Linked DNA regions of Macaca fascicularis. The protein of the gene in region 2 interacts with the protein of the main gene of each other region in a pairwise test. Links are inferred from orthologs where the notes say so. Each region holds a gene or a part of one and is shown on either strand. Other genes may lie near its edges. The genes, in order: VIM, PPL, RAB3IP, AKT1, ZSCAN1 and ALAS1.

Evidence for each region.
Region 1: the proteins of PPL (region 2) and VIM interact in binary tests that used the Homo sapiens proteins (3 or more experiments, as listed by UniProt). The link is inferred for Macaca fascicularis from reciprocal best matches to the Homo sapiens genes PPL and VIM.
Region 3: the proteins of PPL (region 2) and RAB3IP interact in binary tests that used the Homo sapiens proteins (3 or more experiments, as listed by UniProt). The two-hybrid records come from large-scale screens. The link is inferred for Macaca fascicularis from reciprocal best matches to the Homo sapiens genes PPL and RAB3IP.
Region 4: the proteins of PPL (region 2) and AKT1 interact in a two-hybrid assay, tested with the Homo sapiens proteins (2 studies listed by BioGRID and IntAct). The link is inferred for Macaca fascicularis from reciprocal best matches to the Homo sapiens genes PPL and AKT1.
Region 5: the proteins of PPL (region 2) and ZSCAN1 interact in binary tests that used the Homo sapiens proteins (3 or more experiments, as listed by UniProt). The two-hybrid records come from large-scale screens. The link is inferred for Macaca fascicularis from reciprocal best matches to the Homo sapiens genes PPL and ZSCAN1.
Region 6: the proteins of PPL (region 2) and ALAS1 interact in binary tests that used the Homo sapiens proteins (3 or more experiments, as listed by UniProt). The two-hybrid records come from large-scale screens. The link is inferred for Macaca fascicularis from reciprocal best matches to the Homo sapiens genes PPL and ALAS1.

The regions. Positions count from the first base shown.
Region 1 is NC_088383.1:18,140,902-18,143,750, reverse strand, and holds part of VIM (vimentin), read right to left. Parts: intron 1,518-2,849; coding exon 1,422-1,517; intron 1,335-1,421; coding exon 1,173-1,334; intron 422-1,172; coding exon 296-421; intron 1-295. UniProt on the Homo sapiens protein: Vimentins are class-III intermediate filaments found in various non-epithelial cells, especially mesenchymal cells. Vimentin is attached to the nucleus, endoplasmic reticulum, and mitochondria, either laterally or terminally.
Region 2 is NC_088394.1:5,706,401-5,709,900, forward strand, and holds part of PPL (periplakin), read right to left. Parts: coding exon 3,466-3,500; intron 2,670-3,465; coding exon 2,572-2,669; intron 2,386-2,571; coding exon 2,228-2,385; intron 882-2,227; coding exon 703-881; intron 618-702; coding exon 479-617; intron 1-478. UniProt on the Homo sapiens protein: Component of the cornified envelope of keratinocytes. May link the cornified envelope to desmosomes and intermediate filaments. May act as a localization signal in PKB/AKT-mediated signaling.
Region 3 is NC_088385.1:76,514,753-76,518,712, reverse strand, and holds the start of RAB3IP (rab-3A-interacting protein), read right to left. Parts: upstream 2,801-3,960; 5' UTR 2,314-2,800; coding exon 2,276-2,313; intron 1-2,275. UniProt on the Homo sapiens protein: Guanine nucleotide exchange factor (GEF) which may activate RAB8A and RAB8B. Promotes the exchange of GDP to GTP, converting inactive GDP-bound Rab proteins into their active GTP-bound form.
Region 4 is NC_088381.1:172,965,669-172,969,168, forward strand, and holds part of AKT1 (RAC-alpha serine/threonine-protein kinase), read right to left. Parts: intron 2,863-3,500; coding exon 2,794-2,862; intron 2,440-2,793; coding exon 2,314-2,439; intron 2,236-2,313; coding exon 2,107-2,235; intron 1,957-2,106; coding exon 1,742-1,956; intron 1,316-1,741; coding exon 1,228-1,315; intron 1-1,227. UniProt on the Homo sapiens protein: AKT1 is one of 3 closely related serine/threonine-protein kinases (AKT1, AKT2 and AKT3) called the AKT kinase, and which regulate many processes including metabolism, proliferation, cell survival, growth and angiogenesis.
Region 5 is NC_088393.1:65,772,520-65,776,019, reverse strand, and holds part of ZSCAN1 (zinc finger and SCAN domain-containing protein 1), read right to left. Parts: intron 2,141-3,500; coding exon 2,002-2,140; intron 1,196-2,001; coding exon 573-1,195; 3' UTR 1-572. UniProt on the Homo sapiens protein: May be involved in transcriptional regulation.
Region 6 is NC_088376.1:115,270,649-115,274,800, reverse strand, and holds the start of ALAS1 (5-aminolevulinate synthase, non-specific, mitochondrial), read right to left. Parts: upstream 2,801-4,152; 5' UTR 2,702-2,800; intron 1,725-2,701; exon of another isoform or gene 1,714-1,724; 5' UTR 1,693-1,713; coding exon 1,494-1,692; intron 1-1,493.

The DNA.
Region 1 (2,849 bases), on a different chromosome or scaffold from region 2:
CAGAACCATTTACAGACCTTCTGCAATAATTTCCATTAGTGGCAAATGGCGACCACTATAATTTTTGGTGGAGAATACAAGTACCAAGTCCTTCATATGAGAAGCAATGATATATGCAAGCTAAAACCTTCAAGAGCTCCATCAAGTCCATTTTGAGTCTGTCTTGATAATTCATTTTCTTTGCATTAAGGTATAAATTTTTACTCACTCAGCATTTTGTTCAGGTTATCACCATGAGCTTAGTCAACAAAATGAGTCATTATTTTCCCTCTTTTACTGCAGGGTTGGTACTCACGGTTCCTTTAAGGGCATCCACTTCACAGGTGAGGGATTGCACCTGTCTCCGGTATTCATTGGACTCCTGCTTTGCCTGGCGTAGGGCGTCATTGTTCCGGTTGGCAGCCTCGGAGAGGTCAGCAAACTGTTAGGAAGAAAACAGAAATGTAGATTGCTCACATTCAAGTCTTTTGATTCTCTTAGAAAAAAAATCGTATTTCTCACTGAATGTCTTCCAGTATAGGTTTAAATTTCTGTTTTAAAGTCAGGGAAAGAGCAGTGGAGTACTGACATTAATATTTTCAAAGTTCACTCTACTATGCTCATTTCAACACAGTGGACGTCAAAGGTATGGCATTGGGGTTTACTTGGAGGCAAGGTTAGGGAAAAGGGAGTCTGCTATTCTGAACGAGGTGATGTGGCCAGGTGTGGTGGCTCACACCTGTAATCCCAACATTTTGGGAGGCTAAGGCGGGTGGATCACCTGAGGTCAGAAGTTTGAGAGCAGCCTGATCAACATGGTGAAACCCCATCTCTACTAAAAAGACAAAAATTAGCCAGACATGGTGGTGCTTGCCTGTGGTCCCAGCTACTTAGGAGGCTGAGACAGGAGAACCACTTGAACTTGGGAGGCGGAGGCTGCCGTGTGCCAAGATGATGCCACTGCGCTTCAGCCTGGGCAGTAGAGCAAGACTCTGTCTCATAAATATACATATATATATATAAAGGAGGTGATGTGAGTGGTGGGAAGGCCGTGGCGACAAACACAATGTGAGCAAGAAGTCAAAGCCAGCTTTGCATTGGAGCTAGAGGATATTTAGGAATCGCACACAGGTATGGGGTATTGAGAACACAATGCTTTTCTTTTGTTCAAGCCACACTGATTTGTTTCCTACCTTGGACTTGTACCATTCTTCTGCCTCCTGCAGGTTCTTGGCAGCCACACTTTCATATTGCTGACGTACGTCACGCAGGGCAGCCGTGAGGTCAGGCTTGGAAACATCCACATCGATCTGGACATGCTGTTCCTGAATCTGAGCCTGCAGCTCCTGGATTTCCTGCAAAAAGAACAGACAGACGGTCAGCTGTGCCAGCCGTGGGGGCTGCCTTACCCTCATTCATTCCCCAAAAGTCACTCCACTAACCTCTTCATGGAGTTTCTTCAAAAAGGCAATCTCTTCTTGCAAAGATTCCACTTTGCGTTCAAGGTCAAGACGTGCCAGAGACGCATTGTCAACATCCTATTTTGAACAGAGAAAAGACAGGACATGGAGGATGTAAAAGTCTATGGCTTATCTCATTTATTTGTCTTAGATTAACCATCTGAACCTAGTCTCCTTACTATAGAAAAGGTGTTGACACATTTTATGACCCTTGAATAGGTTTATAAATCATTCAGTGCTATAATATGCTGTGCTTTCTCCTGCTCACTAATATATTTTAATTGTGACCCCTTGTGTTTTACTCAAGGTGGTGAATGGACAATTTTAAAATAAATAAACGTCCACACACATGGTAAACTGCACTCAATCATGACTGAATCCACATTTTACCTGTGACATTTTAAAATTATTTTTTAAGGCTGGTCATGGTGGCTCTTGCTTGTAATCCCAGCACTTTGGGAGGCCGAGGCGGGTGGATCACTTGAGGTCAGGAGTTTGAGACCAGCCTAGCCAACATGGCGAAACCCCATCTCTACTGAAAATACAAAAATTAGCTGGGTGGGTGGCACACACCTGTAGTCCCAGCTACTTGAGAGGTTGAGGCAGGATAATTTCTTCAACCCTAGGAGGCAGAGGTTGTAGTGAGCTGACATAGCGCCACTGCACTCCAGCCTGGGCAACAGAGTGACACTCTGTCTCAAAAAAGAAAGTAATTCCTTTAATTTAATTACTTTTTAAATCTAGAAAATCTATGCCACAACATTGTTAAGATTTGTTTTGTAATTTCATGGAATAACATGATGATAGAGGTGGACAAATTTTCATAACTTCATGTACACTTGAGTACATGGAGAACAGAAACTTGTGCTTCAAGAGTTTTAGCTTTTTTTCCCCACTCAAATCTTTTGAAACTTATCCTTAGGCTCCAAAGCAAATATGCAATCATGTGGCATCCATTGTACAAGGCTAGATTTATATTCAATAATAACCCAATTCAGGATATGCTGCCAAAGATTCAGTTCAGGAAAAATTGGAAAAGAAATGTAACTCTGAACTGTATTTTCTCTGCTTTCTCTGATGGATTTTTCTTCTAAAACTCCTTTGACTCATCCTACAAAGGCGTGTCTTTTTCGCTTGCCACTGTATCCGTTCAGTTGGCCTGTTTCAGAATGACTGGTCAAACTTGCAGAGAATGAAACTACATGAAGGATTTTTGCTGATTCAGCTGTCCTTCTATGTTTCCATTTGTAAAGCTCAACATTCCAATTCAGAACATGTAATCTTGCAACTAAGATTTTATTTCCTCTCAAAAGGATGCGTGAGGATTGTTTATCTTGTCAGCAATTATATTTGGAGTTCAGTTTATAGCCTTATGGTCTTAAACTGTTGAGACTTTTCTATCACCTTAGT
Region 2 (3,500 bases):
CAGGCCGAGGACGCAGCTGCTCCTCTGCCCCGTGACTTGCCCTGTGGACTGCAGCCCAGGATGCCAGCTGTGCTCAGCAAGAGATACTGGGAACATGGATTGTTAGGTGTTTTTTTTTTTTTTAAGAGATGGGGCTTGCAACATTGTCCACGTTGGACCTAAACTCCGGGGCTCAAGCAAGCCCACCCCAGCCTCCTGAATGGCTGGTGTTACAAGCATGTGCCACTGCACTGTCTATTGCAGATATTTGATCTTAAAATGCTGGCATTTGAAATCCCATAGGTCACACAGATCCCGTGAATAGCTCGGATTTGTCCTGCGGGCCTCCATTTGCAATTCCCAGTTTGTCACACTGGGCATTCCAAACCCAGGGAGACGGGATGCTGGTGTCCTCGTCTGTCCGGATGGGGTGGGTGGATGGGCCTGATGCCCTCACCTGCTCAGAGAAGGACTTCTGGGATTTGGGCCCCAGACTCACCGCCAGCTCTTGCCCCTTGCTGTCCAGGATGCAGCTACTCTCGGGCACTGTGTCATCCTGATTCAGATGGTTCTCGTGTGTGGCCAGCAACTCCCAGCCCTGCTGCAGGCTCTTCTCCAGGCGGTTGGCCACGTCAACTCTGAGGACACCAGTCAGGCGTCAGGGGATACCCACCTGGTCCCCTGACGCCACCCCAACCTCCATGTTGCCTGTCTGCCACCCACTTTTCCTGGGCCAAGTCCAGCAGCTGCGCCAGGCGCTCGTATTTCTGGTTGGTGTCCTCCACCCGGGTCCTCAGCAGGGGTGCGGTGCCACTGCCCGGGAGGGCCTGGATGAAGGCTTCGCCCTCAGCCGCGCTCCGAGTCTTCTCAGGCTCAATCCGCAGTAGCTCATTGGTGATGTTCTGTGGGGACCAGGGCCCCTCAGTTTTGGACACAGCCAGGCAGCCCCTTCCCCCGAGGATGTGGCCAGGGTGGGCACACATTCCCACATCAGGGACAGTGGAAGCAGCTGGAAAGGCCTGGCACACTCTGGGGCTCTGATGCGGCGTCTGGACGCCAGCCTGAGGGCTGCATCTTTCACAAGCATCCCAGGGAACCGCTGAGGTGGACTGTGGACTAGTGCCACCAAAAGCACCCAGGCAGCTGCCGGGCCTGTGCTGTCCTAAGCACTGCACGTGAACGCTTCTGTTCAATAACCTTTCCAGCAACCCTGGGAGGTGAGTACTACGACTCCACCCAATCACGGGTGGGGGCGTGATGACTCCCAGCAACTTAGGAAGGGACTTGTGGGGTCAGGTTACACCCGAGACCCGCATCCTCTCACCCTGACTCGGCCCTCACTGTGAGGCCCCATCAGGGACTAGGGCACTTCTCCAATCCCAGATCCCCCTCTGTAAAATTGGAGTGCTACTCCCTGCCTCAAAGGGCTGCCTTGAGGATGTGGGAGACTGTGTAGGAAAGGAGGTGGGTGGTGGTGGCCTTGCCACGTTGCCCCCGGCATCAGCTCACCCTGTCCTTGCCACCGCCCTGCAAGCAGGGTCAACCCATCCTACTGAAGAGGCCTGGGGTTTAGCTAAAATGTCTGCGGTCAAATCAGCCAGTGACCCAGTCCTGCGGAATTCCACAGCCCATGTGCCGCGCCAGGCGTCAGATCGACAAGCCATGCCGGGACAGTGCAAGCCTTGGCTCTTTCTCCTGGGGATATGTCTGGAAAGAGCCTGGCGGCCTGGTCCTTGGTCTGGAAGCTGGGGAGGTGATGAGGGCAGCCCTGCCAGTTCCACGACTCGGGACCCGGTTACATGCAGCAGGCTGTCCCTGTCAGACACCTGCAGTGAATGTCCTAAGACCCCACGGGGGGCCGGGCGCGGTGGCTCAAGCCTGTAATCCCAGCACTTTGGGAGGCCGAGACGGGCGGATCACGAGGTCAGGAGATCAAGACCATCCTGGCTAATATGGTGAAACCCCGTCTCTACTAAAAATACAAAAAACTAGCCGGGCGTGGTGGTGGGCGCCTGTAGTCCCAGCTACTCGGGAGGCTGAGGCAGGAGAATGGCGTAAACCCGGGAGGCGGAGCTTGCAGTGAGCTGAGATCCGGCCACTGCACTCCAGCCTGGGCGACACAGCGAGACTCCGTCTCAAAAAAAAAAAAAAAAAAAAGACCCCACGGGGAAAAGACCTCAAATAGGGGCCGCCAGGGGGCCAGTGCAGGGCTCCCCAGGCCCCGCCTGTGCTCCTGACCCACAGGTACCTTAAGGTCTTTGGCCCGCTCAGCACTGTCCTGCACAGCCCGGCCTTGCTCCAGCGGTGGCCGCAGGATCCCTGTGATGGCCTTCTCCTGCCGGTCCAGGTCTCTGGCCACCTTGTCCAAGCCAGCCAGCAGCTGCCGCCCTTGTAGGTCAGAGGCATCTGTGGAGGGAGGGAGGACACAGGCAGGTGTGACAATGGGCCAGGGGTGTGAGGCTCAGGGAGGGACCTAGGCACCCAGCCCCCCACCTCCTGCCAGGCCCCTGCCATCTCATCCACAGCATATACCCTGGGTCCAGCCCCTCCCTGGCACCCTCAGAGCCTCAGGCGAGTGGCCCTGGCACCCACCTCCAGGGTTCTCGGTCTTCAGCACCTCATACCGCTGCTGCAGCGTGCGTTTGCTCCCGGCTGCCTTCTGCTGCACGCTCCGGTACTGGCTGCCCAGGCTGTGAGGACAGAAATGAGCTGGGAACCTGGGCAGCCCACCACCCCTTGCACCCACAGAGACACGACAGCAGACTGGCTGGGCAGACACCCCAGAGGAGCCTGACAGCTCCTTAGATGCAGACAGCGAGTGCTCACTGTCGTGCTGGCCTTTGTGTGCTCCTGGGCTCAGAACTCCTCCTCCTTCCCCTTCTTCATAGGAAGTCTTAAACTACCTAAAATTGTCCAATAATCTCCACCAAGATGTTACCTCTGAGGGAGCATACACAGTAGGTGCTCAATAAATACATGAATGAATAAATGAAGGCATTCCTTGAATCATCCACTCATTCAGCAAGGAGTTCCTGGGCACCAACTTTCCACCAGGTACTTAACTAGGCCCTGGAGAGAGGAAATTCAAGGAGCCCAACGAGACTGACACATATGATAGTCAATAAAAAGTGGTGTGTGCAGTGGAAGAAGGTGCCTGGGAGCAAAGAGGAGGCAGCCCTTATTCCAGCTGAGTCCACAGTCGAGGGGCTGGGAGCTGCAGGTACAGGGAGCAGTGCGTGTGGGAGCCAGGGGCCCTTAGAAACTGCTTGCTGGACGAAGCCAAGAGCTGGATATTCATGTTCAGCAAGTCAGTCGGCCCACGATCTGCCCCTCTCCTGCGTGAACCTCCAAGGGGGTACAGATGGAGAGTGTCAGCAACCCCCCGCTCCCCACAGGCTGAGTCCAAATGCCCAGGGCTATGAATGGGGCCTGAGAAGCCGTGGGGGTGGGGCTGGTCCATGCAGACTCCCGCCTTTGCCCTTGTACCTGTCAGCCAGAGCCAGGGCCTCAGGGTCTGTGGG
Region 3 (3,960 bases), on a different chromosome or scaffold from region 2:
TTCTTCCTCTCCACTACTCAACTATCCTAGCACTTCGTCTTAGTTGACATTCATTAAAATATGTAACGTGTGTTCTACATTTTGAAGAACTTATAAAAGATATGGGAATGATTATAAGGCCCCACCTCCCATATTCCTTAAGAATTGTTTCCTTTAACCCCTACTGTGACTTGCAGAGTAGATGCTCAATTGAGTATATGATTTAAAAAAATCTCTGGTGACACATGAGAATTACATATTACATTAATATTACATATCTCATAAAAGCTAAATTACAAACAGTTCTTCAGCATTATAAGCTACACACAAAGAAGTAATAATGCAGTGATTATAAGCAAATAATTCTTCAGCATTACCACTTATACAGAGTGCAGTGGTTAACAGCACAGACATGGAAGACAAACTGACATCTAATCCAGACCTGTCACTTAATTAATTATATGACTTTGAGCAAACTACATAAGGTCTCAGCGTCTCAATTTTCTCAACTACAAAATAGGGATAAAGTATTATCTCCTAGCTCACTGTGAGAGTGAGTGAGTTAGTATAAAGCTTGTACCAGGACTTGGCTTGATAAGCACTAGACTTCAAAGTAACTGTAGTAGCAAGGCTGGTATCACCGTCATTAGAAAACCTGGGTATTTTTAAACCAGAAATACAAATGGTAACACTTGTCACTCTGTGTGCCTCCTTATAGTTACAAAGTTCTTTAATAGAAAGTGCAGACTGGGAATGTAAGGAATAAGAGCACTAAGTTCCATTTTGGGCAGTTGGATACAGTTTTTAATACCGGCTCTATCACTGGCCAGCTGTACGACCACCTACAACTAAGTAACTACAGACAAGTTACCGCAACTTTCTAAGCCTCCATTTCCTGATTTGTAAAATTTGACAGTCACCTATATCCCAGGAATGTCCAGAGGACTGAGGAGTCAAGGTATGGAAAACAAGCACGCACAGTGCCTTGCACACAAGCAAGCTCACATTGGTTCCTTCTCCCCTTCCCCACATCTCTAATGGAGTATCTTATTAAATCCTCATCTCACCACTATGAAGTTCATATTAGGTTGAAACATAAAAAACAGCAGAATATTAGCAATTTCAACCTAATAGTATTTCCACTGACAAATGGAGAAAATAAGCTCAAATAGGTTAAATGTTTTACTCAAGGTTTTATGCACAGTAAGTGATGGAACTGAACATTAAATAATTTTTCATTCAGCCAGCTCACTAATTTGTTCACTGACTCCTGCTGAGGGGGAAAAAAATATACTAACTACTATAATGCATATAAAACTACTGTAATCTACAAAGTATTTTTTCCTGCCATGTTTAAAAAATGAGGGGGTGAAACAGATTTCTAAGAACATTTCCATTTTAAAAATTATTTGCAGAGGATGTGTGTGTTGGGGGAGGATGAGGGTTTACACAAAATCAAAGGTAAAGAATATTAAAGGAAGCATATGGATAATTACACTAATTCAAAAAGTACAATAGGATCTATTCAGAAAACCCACAAAGCAGCTAAACATTAAATGGCCATCCTGGTGAAAGGTTACAAGTATTCAATACCACAGATGAGTTGTCTGCCAAATACGGAAGGAAGATTTATATTAAACACTTTGGTTCACAAAGGTATACATTAATATATAACATTACTGCAATGGAAAAAAATGAAAGGCTTTTCCTTCAATAGTTAAAAAATGGACTACTTAACTGTATAACTGTTTATTTCTATAAATTCCACAAGGGCTTTAGCATTAGATCACATAAGCCATATCTGGAATACAATGTCCAAACATGAAAAGTCCTATCAAAATGCACAGTACTAGTAAATAAATAACAAATGGTAATAGTACAAGGCCCCATAAAACTGGTGAAATATTTAACAGTATCAAATATTTACTACGATTGGTCTACAACCCTATTCTGCCTCTTTTCTCCTTGATTTGTCATTCACCACTGGGGGAAAAAAAAAAAAAAACCTTCATGAACAACAAAATGAGAAAAAGGATAATGAACAAGAACTGGGTCTTTCAATTGATTTACAAAGGAACAGTTTTGTTGTAATCCTCTTACGGGCCCCTCCTCCAATTATGCAATCATTCCACTGCAAGAGATTACAAGGCTTTTAACCCGACAGTGAAAGGAAGGAGTTGGGGTGAAACATGAGAGTGTATAACAGGTAGCCTCCGAACAGGCAACATTTCCATGAAACTAAATTGCCTCTCAGTAATCAGTACTAACTCAGCGCTCTTGTCTTTCAAGACCTTACCCTTTAGCCATTGCAGATATATCTTTTTTTAATCCCATAACAACCGGCAACTCTTTACATGCTGCGGCTTCCACCCAGCATCAATTCTGGAGCGAGGAAGCTCGCGCTTCCCCGGGCGGTCGGGGCGAGTTTTCAACGCTGGGAGGGCAAAGCCGTGCAATCCCATCCGTGCAGCTCGTCTCAACTCCCCCGAACACAAGTCTGGCTGCAAGGAGCTGCCTCTTCGGACGCGACTCCGGGCGCCTGCCCGGAATTTCCCACCAGGTTTCACCGAAACCTCCCGAGGGTGACCTCTACGCCTCAGCACGGTGCCTCTAGCGTCGTTTCCTAAGACTGGGGCACGAAACCACCCCAGGTCCACAGCTATTGCCCCGTCCACAGCCCTGCCGCGCGGCGCCCGGTGTTGTGAGCGGCTTCCGACTTGTTCGGGAACTCCGTCTTCATCCCCTTCGCGACCCCGGCCTTCCGCTCCCGGCCGCTCCCGCCCGCCGCCAGGTAACCCGCCGGGCTCCGGCTCCCTGCCCCGGGCGCGCGGGACCGCGCAGTTAATGTGTAACGCGCCCGTGCCCGGGGGAGGAGCCGCCGCCCGGCGCCCACCAGCAGCCCAGGGGGCGGCCGGCTGACCCGGGGCGCCGAGGTCCCCCCACACGCCGCCCCCAAGACCCCGGAGCCCAACTGCCCACGCGGAGAGCGCGCTCACCGGGCCGGGGCATCCCGCCAAACCCCCGCGCGCCGCGCCCTCCACGGCGCCGGCACCTGCACCTGCCGCGGCCGCCCCTCCTGGCCGACTCGCCGGAGGCGGGCGCGCGGGCGCCGAGGGGGGCGGTGCTCCACGCTCCGGGCCTCTCCCTCCCGCGGCCGCACTCACCTGACGAACCCACCGCGGCCGCTGCCGGCGCTCACGGGCGCTCACAGAGCCGCAGAGAGCGCGCCCCGAAGCAGCGAGAGGCGGAGGAGGACGGCGAGCCCTTGCCGCTACACTCCACGGTGGCGGGCTCACTACGCCGGCAGCCGCCGAGGGAACGCGGGACTGCGCCTGCGCCGGAAGCGGGGCCGGGGCCCGGGGCCGGGAGCCGGGAGCTGGGAGCGGCCGGTCCTCACGGAGGGTGGGCGGGGCGGGGGGGTGTGGCCGGCAGGGGCGGGGCGGGCCCGGCGTGGGGCCTGGGGGCGGACGCGCTTCCGCGCCCCCTGGCGCCAGGCGGGGCTCGTCGCAGCTGTCACGGGCCTGGCCCCAGGTTCCTCCGCGGGCGGTTTCCCTGGGAACAAGGGCGAGCCCGAGCTGCGCTGTTTCCCGGGGCCCGAGAGGCCACCTCAGGTTGACTTCAGGCATGTTGGGCTCTCCAGAAGGGAGAAGAGGCACCTTCGCCGTGAGTTGAGGACTCCTAGAACCAACCTGAGACTCCGCGGCCATATACATCTTACGACGTGTGTGTGTGTGTGGCGGGGGATGGGAGGGGAGGAATCCTGTAGAACCCAGATCCCATCATTCCAGCAACTGCCAGAGCGTTCGAGAATGTCACGCCTGTACCTGTCTTCTCTCATCTTTTGTGCCAACTGTTTTATCAAACTTCCACCCCACTTTAAGTCTTCCAGGTAGGAAAAATACAGAAAGAGCCAAGATCCCAAAAATCGGAAAAAATAAAGAGGCAGTCATAGTATGTGTCTCTATGTTTAGCAAAAGAGAA
Region 4 (3,500 bases), on a different chromosome or scaffold from region 2:
GAAGCTGCCCTCACAGCAGCCCAGCAGGCGACAGGAGGTAGTGCGGCCCAGCTCTGAGACCCTCCCTGCTACCAGTAGGTGATGACTTTATTTTTGCTTTTTCTTTCTTGTTTTCTTATTTTTATTAGTCTTCTTGTAAATTGGGAAAGGGGGAGACTGTGGAACAGGGTGCACAGGATGAGCGCACCCTGCCTCCATGGCTCAGGGACTACAGGATCGCAGCCTCCTGGCATCTGGCTGCAGAGAGGACTCTCGATGACCCAGGATCAAGGGTGACTATAAGGCAATGTGCACATGTGAGGAGCTGCCAGAGAGCCCCTCAGGTCCCACAGTCAAGGATCCCCTCAAGCACTGCCCCACCCAAGTCTGGCCTGGGCACCAGCACTGTCCATTGTCAATTAGCAAGGTCTCTGGTCAAGGCTGGGCAGAGGCTGAGCACTGCCCAGGCCCCCCATACCCTTGAAGGGCAGGGCAGGGCTGGAGGGTGGCAGGCCTCAGGGCAGGAACTGGGACCAGGGCCAGGGCACCCTGTGTTAAATGGGAGGACAGGTGCCCAGCTGGGTCCCAGGGCTGCCCAGCCTGACCAGCTGCACATGGCCTGGGACAGGCATTCAGGGGAGGGGCAGGCTGGGAACTGGGCAGAAGCACACCTGGTGACAGGGCACCCAGCACCTCAGAGTGCAGGATTCTGAACCTAGCCAGCAGACCCCATCAGCCAGGGTGACGGCCAGGGCTCCTGAAAGATGAGCACCCAGGATGGCGACTCATGTAGACAGAGCTGCCTCCCTCCAGGGCGGACTCCCCCATGTGCCAGGAAAGTAGGTGCTGTCCCGTCCCTGCACAGCCAGAAAGTAGGGCTGGGCTCTCCTTGCAGCATAAAGGATTGAGATCAGACAACAGGAGGAACTGGTAGAGAGCAAGGAGCAGCACCCCTGGTCCACCGCCAGCCAGCCTTCACTGCACAGCATCAGGGAAGGGACCCCCAAGGCTGGCACTCAGAGTGTGACACATCTCTGAGGGGAGGAGGAAATGAGGAGGACCAGGCCAGTTTCCTGGAGGAAGCCAGCAGTGCCAGAGCTTCTGAGCAGCAGGCACTGAGGTTGCTGCAGCAAGGCCCTCCTTGTACCAGGACTGCAGCAGGCTCCCGAGGTGAGGGCAGGTGTGTGGGAAATCCGGCGAGCATGCCACGTGCATGCGTGAGTGTGGATATGCGGGAAGCAGCCGCACCTTCTTCTCATACACGTGCTGCCACACGATGCCGGCAAAGAAGCGATGCTGCATGATCTCCTTGGCGTCCTCAGAGCCCCCGCCAAGCCTGCGGGTAGCAAACAAGGCCACGGTGTCGGTACTGCCACCCGCCCAGGCCCCAGGCTCAGACCCCTTCCTCCTGTGATGTAGGGCCCGCCGGACAGGACGTTCTGGGGCCAGGGAGGGCAACCGGTGGTGCAGCATCCCTGAGCAGCTGTGGGGAGCAAAGCACCCCAGGGCTCACGGCAGGCAGGGGCTTCCTGAGTTGGGGGTGTGGGGGCTGCAGGGTTGGGGATGGAGGCCCAACTGACCCTGCCCTACCCAGCCACTCTGCCTGTGCCTGAGGCTTTGGGGATCAGCCCTGGCCAAGGACATCAAGCTCTGGCTATCAGTGTAGTCTGGGAGGTGCCAGGACCGCCTGGCACAGGGGCAGGTGCAGCCTGGGGGTGAGGGGATGGAGGTGGAGCCTGCAGCCGGGATGGGTGGCCCTCACCTCTGCTTGGGGTCCTTCTTGAGCAGCCCTGAGAGCAAGGACTTGGCCTCAGGACCAAGCGTGCGCGGGAAGCGGATCTCCTCCATGAGGATGAGCTCAAAAAGCTTCTCGTGGTCCTGGTTGTAGAAGGGCAGGCGGCCGCACATCATCTCATACATGACCACGCCCAGCCCCCACCAGTCCACCGCACGGCCGTAGTCATTGTCCTCCAGCACCTGCACGGGCGGCAGATGGGCAGGACTCGGCATCAGGGGGTGTCCGGGGGAGGTGTCGTGACGTGCTTGGGGCACAGAGAGGACACAGCTTTGCGTGTGCTCGGGACGTGGGGACACAGCGACGCGTATGCACACAGGTGGGGCGCACACCTCGGGGGCCAGGTACTCAGGTGTGCCGCAGAAGGTCTTCATGGTGGCGCCGTCCTTGATCCCCTCCTTGCACAGCCCGAAGTCTGTGATCTTAATGTGCCCGTCCTTGTCCAGCATGAGGTTCTCCAGCTAGGGGAAAGGTGGCCTCAGGTCAGTGCCGCCAGGCTCCCAGGGCCCTGCCCCCACCCCGAGTGCCCGCCGGCGCACCTTGAGGTCCCGGTACACCACATTCTTCTCCGAGTGCAGGTAGTCCAGGGCTGACACGATCTCGGCGCCATAGAAGCGGGCCCGGTCCTCAGAGAACACACGCTCCCGGGACAGGTGGAAGAAGAGCTGTGGGAAGCGCGACCTGAGGCACAGCTGTGGCCGGGGCCTCCGCCCCCACAGCCTGCAGGGTTGGGGTTTCTCAGGCAGGGGCTCAGGGCATTGGGCACAGGGAAGGGACCAGCCCCCAGAGGGCACGGGGGCCTGGAAAGTCTCAGAAGCCCTAACTCAGCAGGAACAAGTCACCCCACAGCAGGCAGCTGCCTGGGCAGGCGTCATACCACCCACCCAGCAGGGAGCACCGTCTGGTGCTGTGGAGAGTAGCCGAGGTTCCGGGAAGGACCAGCCCCACTATGGGTGGCCCAGCTGCCAGGGCTGGGTCCACAGGCCGTGAGGCCCATCCCCCACAGCCCCAGCCCCTACCTCGCCCCCATTGGCGTACTCCATGACGAAGCAGAGGCGGTCGTGGGTCTGGAAGGAGTACTTCAGGGCCTGCAAGGAAGCGGAGCTGGAACTGCAGCCCCACGGGCAGGACAGCAGCCCCACACCACGCTGCCCGATACCATGCTGCTTGATACCATGCCACCCGTAGCCCCACACCATGCTGCCCGACACCACGCTGCCTGATACCATGCTGCTTGATACCATGCCACCCGATACCATGCCACCCGTAGCCCCACGCCACGCTGCCTCACACCACATTGCCCGATACCACGCTGCCCCACACCACGCTGCCCCGCACCACACCCCCACATCACACTGCCTCACACCACATTGTCCCACACCACACACCCCCACATCACACTGTCTCACACCACATTGTCCCACACCACACACCCCCACATCACACTGCCTCATGCCACACCCCCACACCACACCATCAGGCTGGGCCCTGGCAGCCCCTGAGGTGCCAAGGAGTGTTTGAAAGGTGAGCAAAGTGGCCTGGGCTCAGGTCTCCAGGGCGGGTTGGGACCTCAACAGGGGGCAGTGCTCCCAGCACCAGAGCCCTGGCAAGGGAGGATGCACCCTCCCAGGCAGAGCCACCTTCCTGCCTTCCACCACAGGCGGCTGTGCTTTTAAAGCAAAGGCCCCTTCTGCAGGAGAATCATCCCCAAACACAGTGACCTGGA
Region 5 (3,500 bases), on a different chromosome or scaffold from region 2:
TGTGTTTAATGCCACTGAACTGTGCATTTTTAATGACTGAAATGGTAAATTTTATGTTTCCCAAAAAAGGAAAAAAAACAAAACCCTGTTTATCTGTTAGGTTCCAAGGGGGCTGAGCTGGCAGGAGGGCAGCCGGGGTCAGCTGTACCCTTCTCTGGAGTTGGAGCTGCCCAGGCCGGCTCCCGCCCTCATGGCCTCAGGGATATCCACAGTGAAATGAAAACCCAGCGGCAGAGTCTGCCCCTGAGTCAGGTGCTCACAGGGAGACCTGGACAAGGCTTCTGAAAGACGAGACGCGAATGAAACTCCTCTTCAAGCCACTTGCAAAACACAGTGTGCAGGACTGACCAGGTTTTGCTGTGGAACTGCTGCTTCTTGGCCGAGATCCTGGGAAGCCATGCTCGGCTCTGGAGCAGGTGTCCAGGATCTTCTGAGAAGCAGCCTGTGTCCTTCAAGAGGAGTCCCATGGTGGCCAGGGGTTGGTGGGGCTGGGGGATGTCCCCCATCTTCTGGTGCCCATCGGTGCCCCCCGGGGACTCAGGGCCGGGTGGCCAAGGCCCGAGGCTGGCCATTCACATGTGGCCGTGGGCCGTGTGGAGTTTCTGATGGTCGATGAGGTGGACCATCCAGGGGAAGGCCTTCCCGCAGACGCTACACTGGAAGGGTCTCTTGGGGCTGCGAGGGGCCACTGAGCCTTGGGCTCCATCCCTGGGTGGGGCAGACTCCCGGGGGCCCTTGCTCCGGGGGACTTTCTTCCTGGGTGGCTCCAACAGGTGGATCTTGCCGTGCTCAGCAAGGACAGAGCTGTGCAGGAAGACCCTGCCACACTCGGGGCACGGAAAGGGCCCTTCCTCGCGATGGGTCTTCTGGTGCTCGATGAAGTGGGTGACCCAGGTGAAGACCATCCCGCAGTCGGCACACTGGAAGGGCCGCCCACCTCGGGGCCCACGCAGCGTTGCTGAGACCGCTGCAGCAGCCTCTTGGGTGCCACCTTTGGTGTGCTTGAGGGATGGCTGGTGGCGGACGCTCTGGTCAGTGTTCCTGTTTCTCCTTCGGGGACTGATTCTCTGAGCACTCGGACCCTTGAGGCTTGAGATCACAGCCCCTTCTGCACGCAGGTCTGAGGAGGGCCCTGCGAGAAGATCCTCAGGCTCGTCCCAGATACATGGCTTCAGAGACAGGCGGGCCCGGGACCCTGTGGAGGGCGAGGGAGACAGGTCACCTGTAGTGAGTGGATGGCTTTGGCATCTCCCTGTGCCCCCCAGGGGCGTGGAGGACCCCAATGACTGAGCCAAGTCTGGGCCCTTCTTCTGCTCAATATGTCCCCTGTGCCCTCTGTTCTGTCCTTTAAGATACAAGGGCACATGTGGCTGGGCGCAGTGGCTTACGCCTATAATCCCAGCACTTTGGCAGGCCGAGGAGCGTGGATCATGAGGTGACGAGTTCAAGACCAGCCTGCCCAACATGGTGAAACCCCATCTCTACTAAAATACAAAAATTAGCCAGGTGTGGCGGTGGGCACCCGTAATCCCAGCTACTCAGGAGGCTGAGGCAGGAGAATCGCTTGAATCCGGGAGGCAGAGGTTGCAGTGAGCCGAGATTGCACTACTGCACTCCAGCCTGGGCAACAGAGCAAGACTCCATCTCCAAAAAAAAAAAAAAAGAAGGGCATGTGTTTTGGGAGCAGATCCCACAGCACTGGCCCCTTGTTCCTACCTGGCTGGCCTTCTGGGTAACCCTGTGCTCCAACACTGTCAGACTGTCTGCCTTGGCTGCTGTTCAGGTGGGGAGGCTGAGGCCCTTCTCGTGGGCTGAACGATGTATGTGGCAGTTCTAGGGGCCCCTGATCTCAGTCCCCACAGGAGGTGTGCATGGTTTCTGGGGGAAGTGTGGAGTTTACCACCGAAGCCCCCAACTCCACCCATTAACAAAGTCTGTGACTTTGGGTTGAGGTGCCAAACTCCATTTCCAACCCTTAATCCACGCAGGAGCCAGACTCACCCAGCAAGCCAGGGGCATGGGGCGCCTCGGCCTCCGCCCTGGTGTGCAGACTCTGCAGGAGCTGGGTGGGCTCCAGCCACTCACTTTCCTCAGGGAGTGCCGGGGCTGCTGCCGCTGCATCCAGAATCAGCTCAGACGCCTGGAATGGCAAGCACAGGACTGTTCGGCAGCTGCCCCTCAGGAGCCGTCCTCCCCACCACCACGGAACAACAAAGGAACGGGCGTCATCCCCAAAGGCTGTCTCCCAGGGCGGTATGTGGTGGCGTGCCTGTTGTTCCCCTGCTTTGGGATGCTGATGCCGGAGGATTGCTTGAGTCCAGGAGTTTGGGACCAGCCTGGGCAACATAGCAAGACTCTGCTTATACAAAAGGATAAGTAACCACTCCCAAGGAGCTCTTACCAGGACCTGAGACATAATTCGAGGGGCCCCTGTACAAAATGGAAATGCAAGTCCCCTTGTTCAAAAATAGTTGATCATTTCAGGACGGTGACAACAGAGCATAAGATGGAGCCAGGGGACCCGTGCCACGGCTCAGGTCACTGTTACCCGCTGGGGCTCCTAACTCCCATCCCCCAAGGCTGCACTGTCCTTGCCCACAAGCCCAGAGAAGGTGGGCGACTGCACAGACTTCACATCCCACCTGCGACCTATGACCTCTGAGGCACTTAACCCTGTCCCGCCCAAAGCGGGGATCACCACTTCCTGGGAGGAGACTGAGCTGTAGTTGAAGAGCAAGAATTCAAAACAGAGGGGCTTGGCTTGGTATCCAGGCTCCAGCTCTGCTCGCTCTGTGACCCTGGCTGAGGAGCTTTAGCTCTCTGGGTTTCCAATGAGGATGTAGGTTCTACGTGCCCAGAGCCTGGTACCATCAAGGGCTCGGCAAACTGCAACAGGGTCGTGTCAAAGGAAAACACAGTGACACTTATCAATGCAAATCAAGTTGTTGGAGGAGGTATGTCGAGTCAAACAAAGCATGAGAAGAGAGACCAGGAGTCAAGCACGCACTGATAAGGTCTTGAGTGGGTCTTCGTTTTCTGCTGCCCCAACCCTGACTGGATGCACAGGGATCTCAGGAAGCTGTCCAAGATTCCCAACAGCTGGGCAGAACCGGAGTGGAGGGATTGCTGGGCTAGAGACAGAGGAGGGAGGGAGAGAGGGAGCTGGTGGCAGGAAGGGAGTTAAGGCACAAGAGTCTTCCTGCTCTCACATTGGGAGTATGTGGATGGTGTGTTTGGCTGGGCTGTTGATTTTTATTTATTATCAAATGCTAGTTTTGATTGTAAAACATGTTGAATTCTGAAATCGTCACCAGAGGAGCCATCATCTGCAAGAGTAAAGGCGGGACTCCCTTTTACGCCTTTTTCCGGTACCTGGCTGCTGGGGGCCACTGTGGACAGTCAGCCTACTCCCTACTTCACCCACCTTGGTGTCTGTGACTAATCAAGGGCAGCAGAGGGGCTGCGTGGAGGGAAGAGTGGGTGGCCTGTGTGTGTGTGTG
Region 6 (4,152 bases), on a different chromosome or scaffold from region 2:
GTAAAAAAGACATAACTAACTCTTGAAAATAAACCCTATAAAGGATTAAATCCTTTTTGCTTAAAGAAAAACAAAAATTCTTTTCTTACAAGCCCACACCCAGAGAACACGCCTAAGAAAAACCTGTAAAATACTCTCTAGGATTAAGTGGAACCTGAAAAGCCTTGTTCTCTCCTAGCAGAACCAGAGCAAACTAAATTCAACTCCAGTCTCTTTGTTGAAAACAACAACAAATGTATATATAAATAAAGATACATGGCATGATCTCAGCTCACTGCAACCTCTACCTCCTGGTTTCAAGCAATTCTCATGCCTCAGCCTCCCAAGTAGCTGGGATTTCAGGTGTATACCATCACGTCCAGCTGATTTTTGTATTTTTTTGTAGCAATGGAGTTTCACCACGTGGCCAGGCTGGTCTTGAACTCCTGGCCTCACATGATCCAACCGCCTCAGCCTCCCAAAGTGCTCAGATTACAGGAGTGAGCCACTGCACACAGCCAAGATAAATTTGTTTTTAAAATCACTAATACTGTACGATTTCATTTATATGAGGTACCTAGAATAGTCAAATTCATAGAGACAGAAAGCAGAATGGTGGTTGCCAGGGGTTGGGGAGAGAGGAATGGAGAGTTACTATTTGATGGGTATAGAATTTCAGTTTGAGAAGACAAAAAAAGTTCTGGAGATGGATGGTGGTGATCGTCACACAACAATATGAATGTACCACTGAACTGTACATTTTTAAATGCTTAAAATGGTAATTTTTCTTGGGCATTTTACCACAATAAAACAAAAACTTTTAAGGAAAAAAACAAGTCACTACTTTAAAAAGCCAAAGGTGCCAGGCACGGTGGCTCATGCCTGTAATTCCAGCACTCTGGGAGGCTGAAGCAGGTGGATCAGGTCAGGAGTTCAGGACAAGCCTGGCCAACAAGGTGAAACCCTACTAAAAGTACAAAAATTATCCGGGTGTGGTGGTGCATGCCTGTAATTCCAGGTATTTGGGAGGCTGAGGCAGGAGAATCGCTTGAACCTGGGAAGTGGAGGTTGCAGTAAGCCGACATTGCATCACTGCACTCCAACCTGGGGAACAGAGCAAGACTCTGTCTCAAAAAAGAAAAACTAAATAAATAAAAAGCTGAAGGCCAAATGTTTAATGAGGGAAATTAGAAGGCCAAATGTTTAATGAGGGAAATTAGAACACTCCAATTTAATATTTATGTGAACGAGGCACTGAGGAAACACTAAAATCCCAACAGACACTAACATGCAATCCAAAAACCTGCCATGTGCAACACTGGCCACTGTTTCACCTTTAAAGATGGAAAGGCTAAAAGTGCCTACCCTTGGGGTGACAATCATATGAGATAATCTGTGCACAGAGCAGCCCTTTGTGAGTGACTGTGGCCCTCACCACCACTGTGGGGACTGCTTCTAGTCTACCAATGAGCACACACACCTGTACCTGCTCCTTCATTGTCAGTGACACTTACTCTCACTGGCCGGAGAGGTTTCTTTGATCTGTTGGTAGTGTACTGCTGCAGTGGACAATGCCCGAGGGGCTGGCTTGGCCCCAACTTCCATCATCTTGGGGCAGTTTTGGGCATAGAACAACAGAGATTTGCCTGCTTTCTGCAGAAAGGCCTGGGGGACTCGGGATAAGAATGGGCAGCGGCGAACAACAGTCTCCATGTTCAAGAAGTATGCTGGCTCCTGTGGAAAGACTGATGATGAGTGACATCAACAGCTGTTAATAATCAGGCAAATATCACCGCAAGCTCATTGGATTCAGGTGCCACCTGCAGTTTCTATAAAGGGTACCCTGGAATACTAACACTTCTCCCTCAAAAATGCCTAAGGACAGCACTGATGTGAGACTCAGCTAAGGAATGGTGACCACATTTTACACGGGTCACCAACTTCTTCATTCCCCAGCTCTACACAAAGCAACTTCACCAAATGAAGTAAATACTGACAGTACATAGCCAAGGGGGCAGAAGGATGAAGCACAAGTCAAAAACAGGTTTGGGAGGCCAGAGGTTTCTTAGGGAGATGCACAGTGCAGATAAGACATCTTGGCTTACATCCAGGTGGAGAAGGGATGTTAGGGAAGAAGCCACTCATCTATCCAGACAGGGAAGACTATTAGGGATCCTGACTTTCTCCTGGTCCCCGCATCCCCGAAAGCACTCCTAAACCCGAGGAAGGAGTCCAGCATGCCCCCGAGTCCCTGAAGCAAGGATTCCTCCGCGGTCGTGTCCCCACAGCGGGAAGAACTGGGCATAACTGAGAAAGGAGGGGCACAAACGAGGGTAGGGGTATGAGGACCAGCGCCTTGGGACTCACTGGGGACGCGCAGGGGCTATAAAGTTGAGGGAGTTGAGTCTGGAGAAAGAAGGCAGTACTCGGGCAGTGGGGGTCAGAGGTGACCCGCGGTCGAGGTCTCGAGAATGACGGGAGGGGTATGAGAAGGGAATTCTAAAGCGGCGGGTTCAACCGGGAATAGCTGGAAGGGGCCGAAAGGGGAAAACTGAGGCGGCCGTCTAGGCAAAAAATCTGGAGGATAAACGCTGACCTCAAGGCGGCGGATGACTGGGACAGTGGGGGATGGGGTCCCAGCGCCCCGGGGAGAGGTGCCCCGGCTGACAGGACACGCGGGGGCTTCCCCGGCCGGCGCCGCACCTACCGCGCGGGCCCTCACCTGCGCTGGGGACTCTGCGGAGGCGGCGGCGAAGGAGGCGGGCACTCAAGCCGAGAAGTCCAAACGAACCGTTCGTTGCCCTTGTCCAGGAGCAGCCCCAGGCCGCGATCGCCGGCGCCTTAATATATAGCAGGAGTGACCGCTGCGCATGCGCCGTGGGCGCTGCCTTCTTCCGCGCAGGCGCGCCGCGTCGCCCTCGGCGAGCTGGGCGGGCGGGGCAGAGAAGCCCACTTCTTTGGCTCTGCGGTTATCCGTGCAGCCGGGGATTCCCCGGCTCGCCTGCCGGGAGGAGGAAGGGCCAGGCGGTGAGCGGACGAGGTCTTTTTTCCCGACCTCATCCTGCACTCTCGTGCTGCCTCCCCACCAACTACCCTGGGCTTCAGAACCCTACGCCCCGATTGTGGGGTATAAAATGGCAAGGTCGAGGCGGCTAGGGCCAAGTTGGGGGCTACAGGGTTGTTAAGATGGGTGTCTTGGACCTGGAGGAAGAAGGAGATCCAAGGGGTTCTGGGCCGAGGTGTTAAGCAGGATCCATCCCATCTGCGGCTTGCTTTGGAAACTGTGAACAAGGGCTTCCCGAAGGAGGTGGAGCTGATTGTATCCCCTACAGATGGAGTGGTCCTGGCAGGATGCGGAAGAAGCGGGACACTCAGCTGTGGCACTTTCCGGTCTAAGATGATCCAGAGGAGGCAGAGGAACAGGGCTGGATGGAACCCATCCATTCCACAGCTCTGAGCACTTGGGGCGGAGGGGGAGGCACAGGGCCTGACAATAGTTAGCATGTAACAAATATTAGCCACTATTTTTATTTTCCATCTGGGGTTGTCTGAAGCCCCTTGCTGGCCACCCTGGGCACCAGCAGGGTGGCTTAGGCCTCCATCCCAAAGGTCAGCGTTGGGCCATACCTCCATTGAGTTTCTCTGGCACAACACATGAAGTGTGGGGCTTGGCAAACCCCTCTCGGGAATGCCAGTCTGGCTTCCTTGCTCCACACCCTTCCCAGCTTGGCTTGGGCTGAGTTGGGCTGGGCCTGTGCCAGGCTCAGAGGTACTCTCCATTCTTGAGGAAAGGGCCGTCGAGAGTATTCCTTTCCCAGCTACGCATTAACAAGAGGGACAAAGTCCAGAATGATGGTGACCAGGGTGTGTCCAGGTACTTTGCATTTCCCTCTCTGAGCATCCAGCTGGCTGCAAGGCAGGTGAGGTGAGTCTCCACCTTCAGAGGAGGCACCTGGGTTCAGAGTGGCAGTGGGACCTGTCCAGGATGCGTGCTTTGGTCTGAGAGCTCAAGACCCAGTTCTGTGCCATTCTGCCAAGGAATCCTGGGCAGTGCCCATCACCCAGAGAAGATGAGAGAGAAAAGGTCAGCACTTGGACCCAAGTGCAGCTGTAAGTGGGAACAGAATAAGGATATTGAGTGCTTTGCTCATCTTTGGGCCTTGCTTTCCTTAG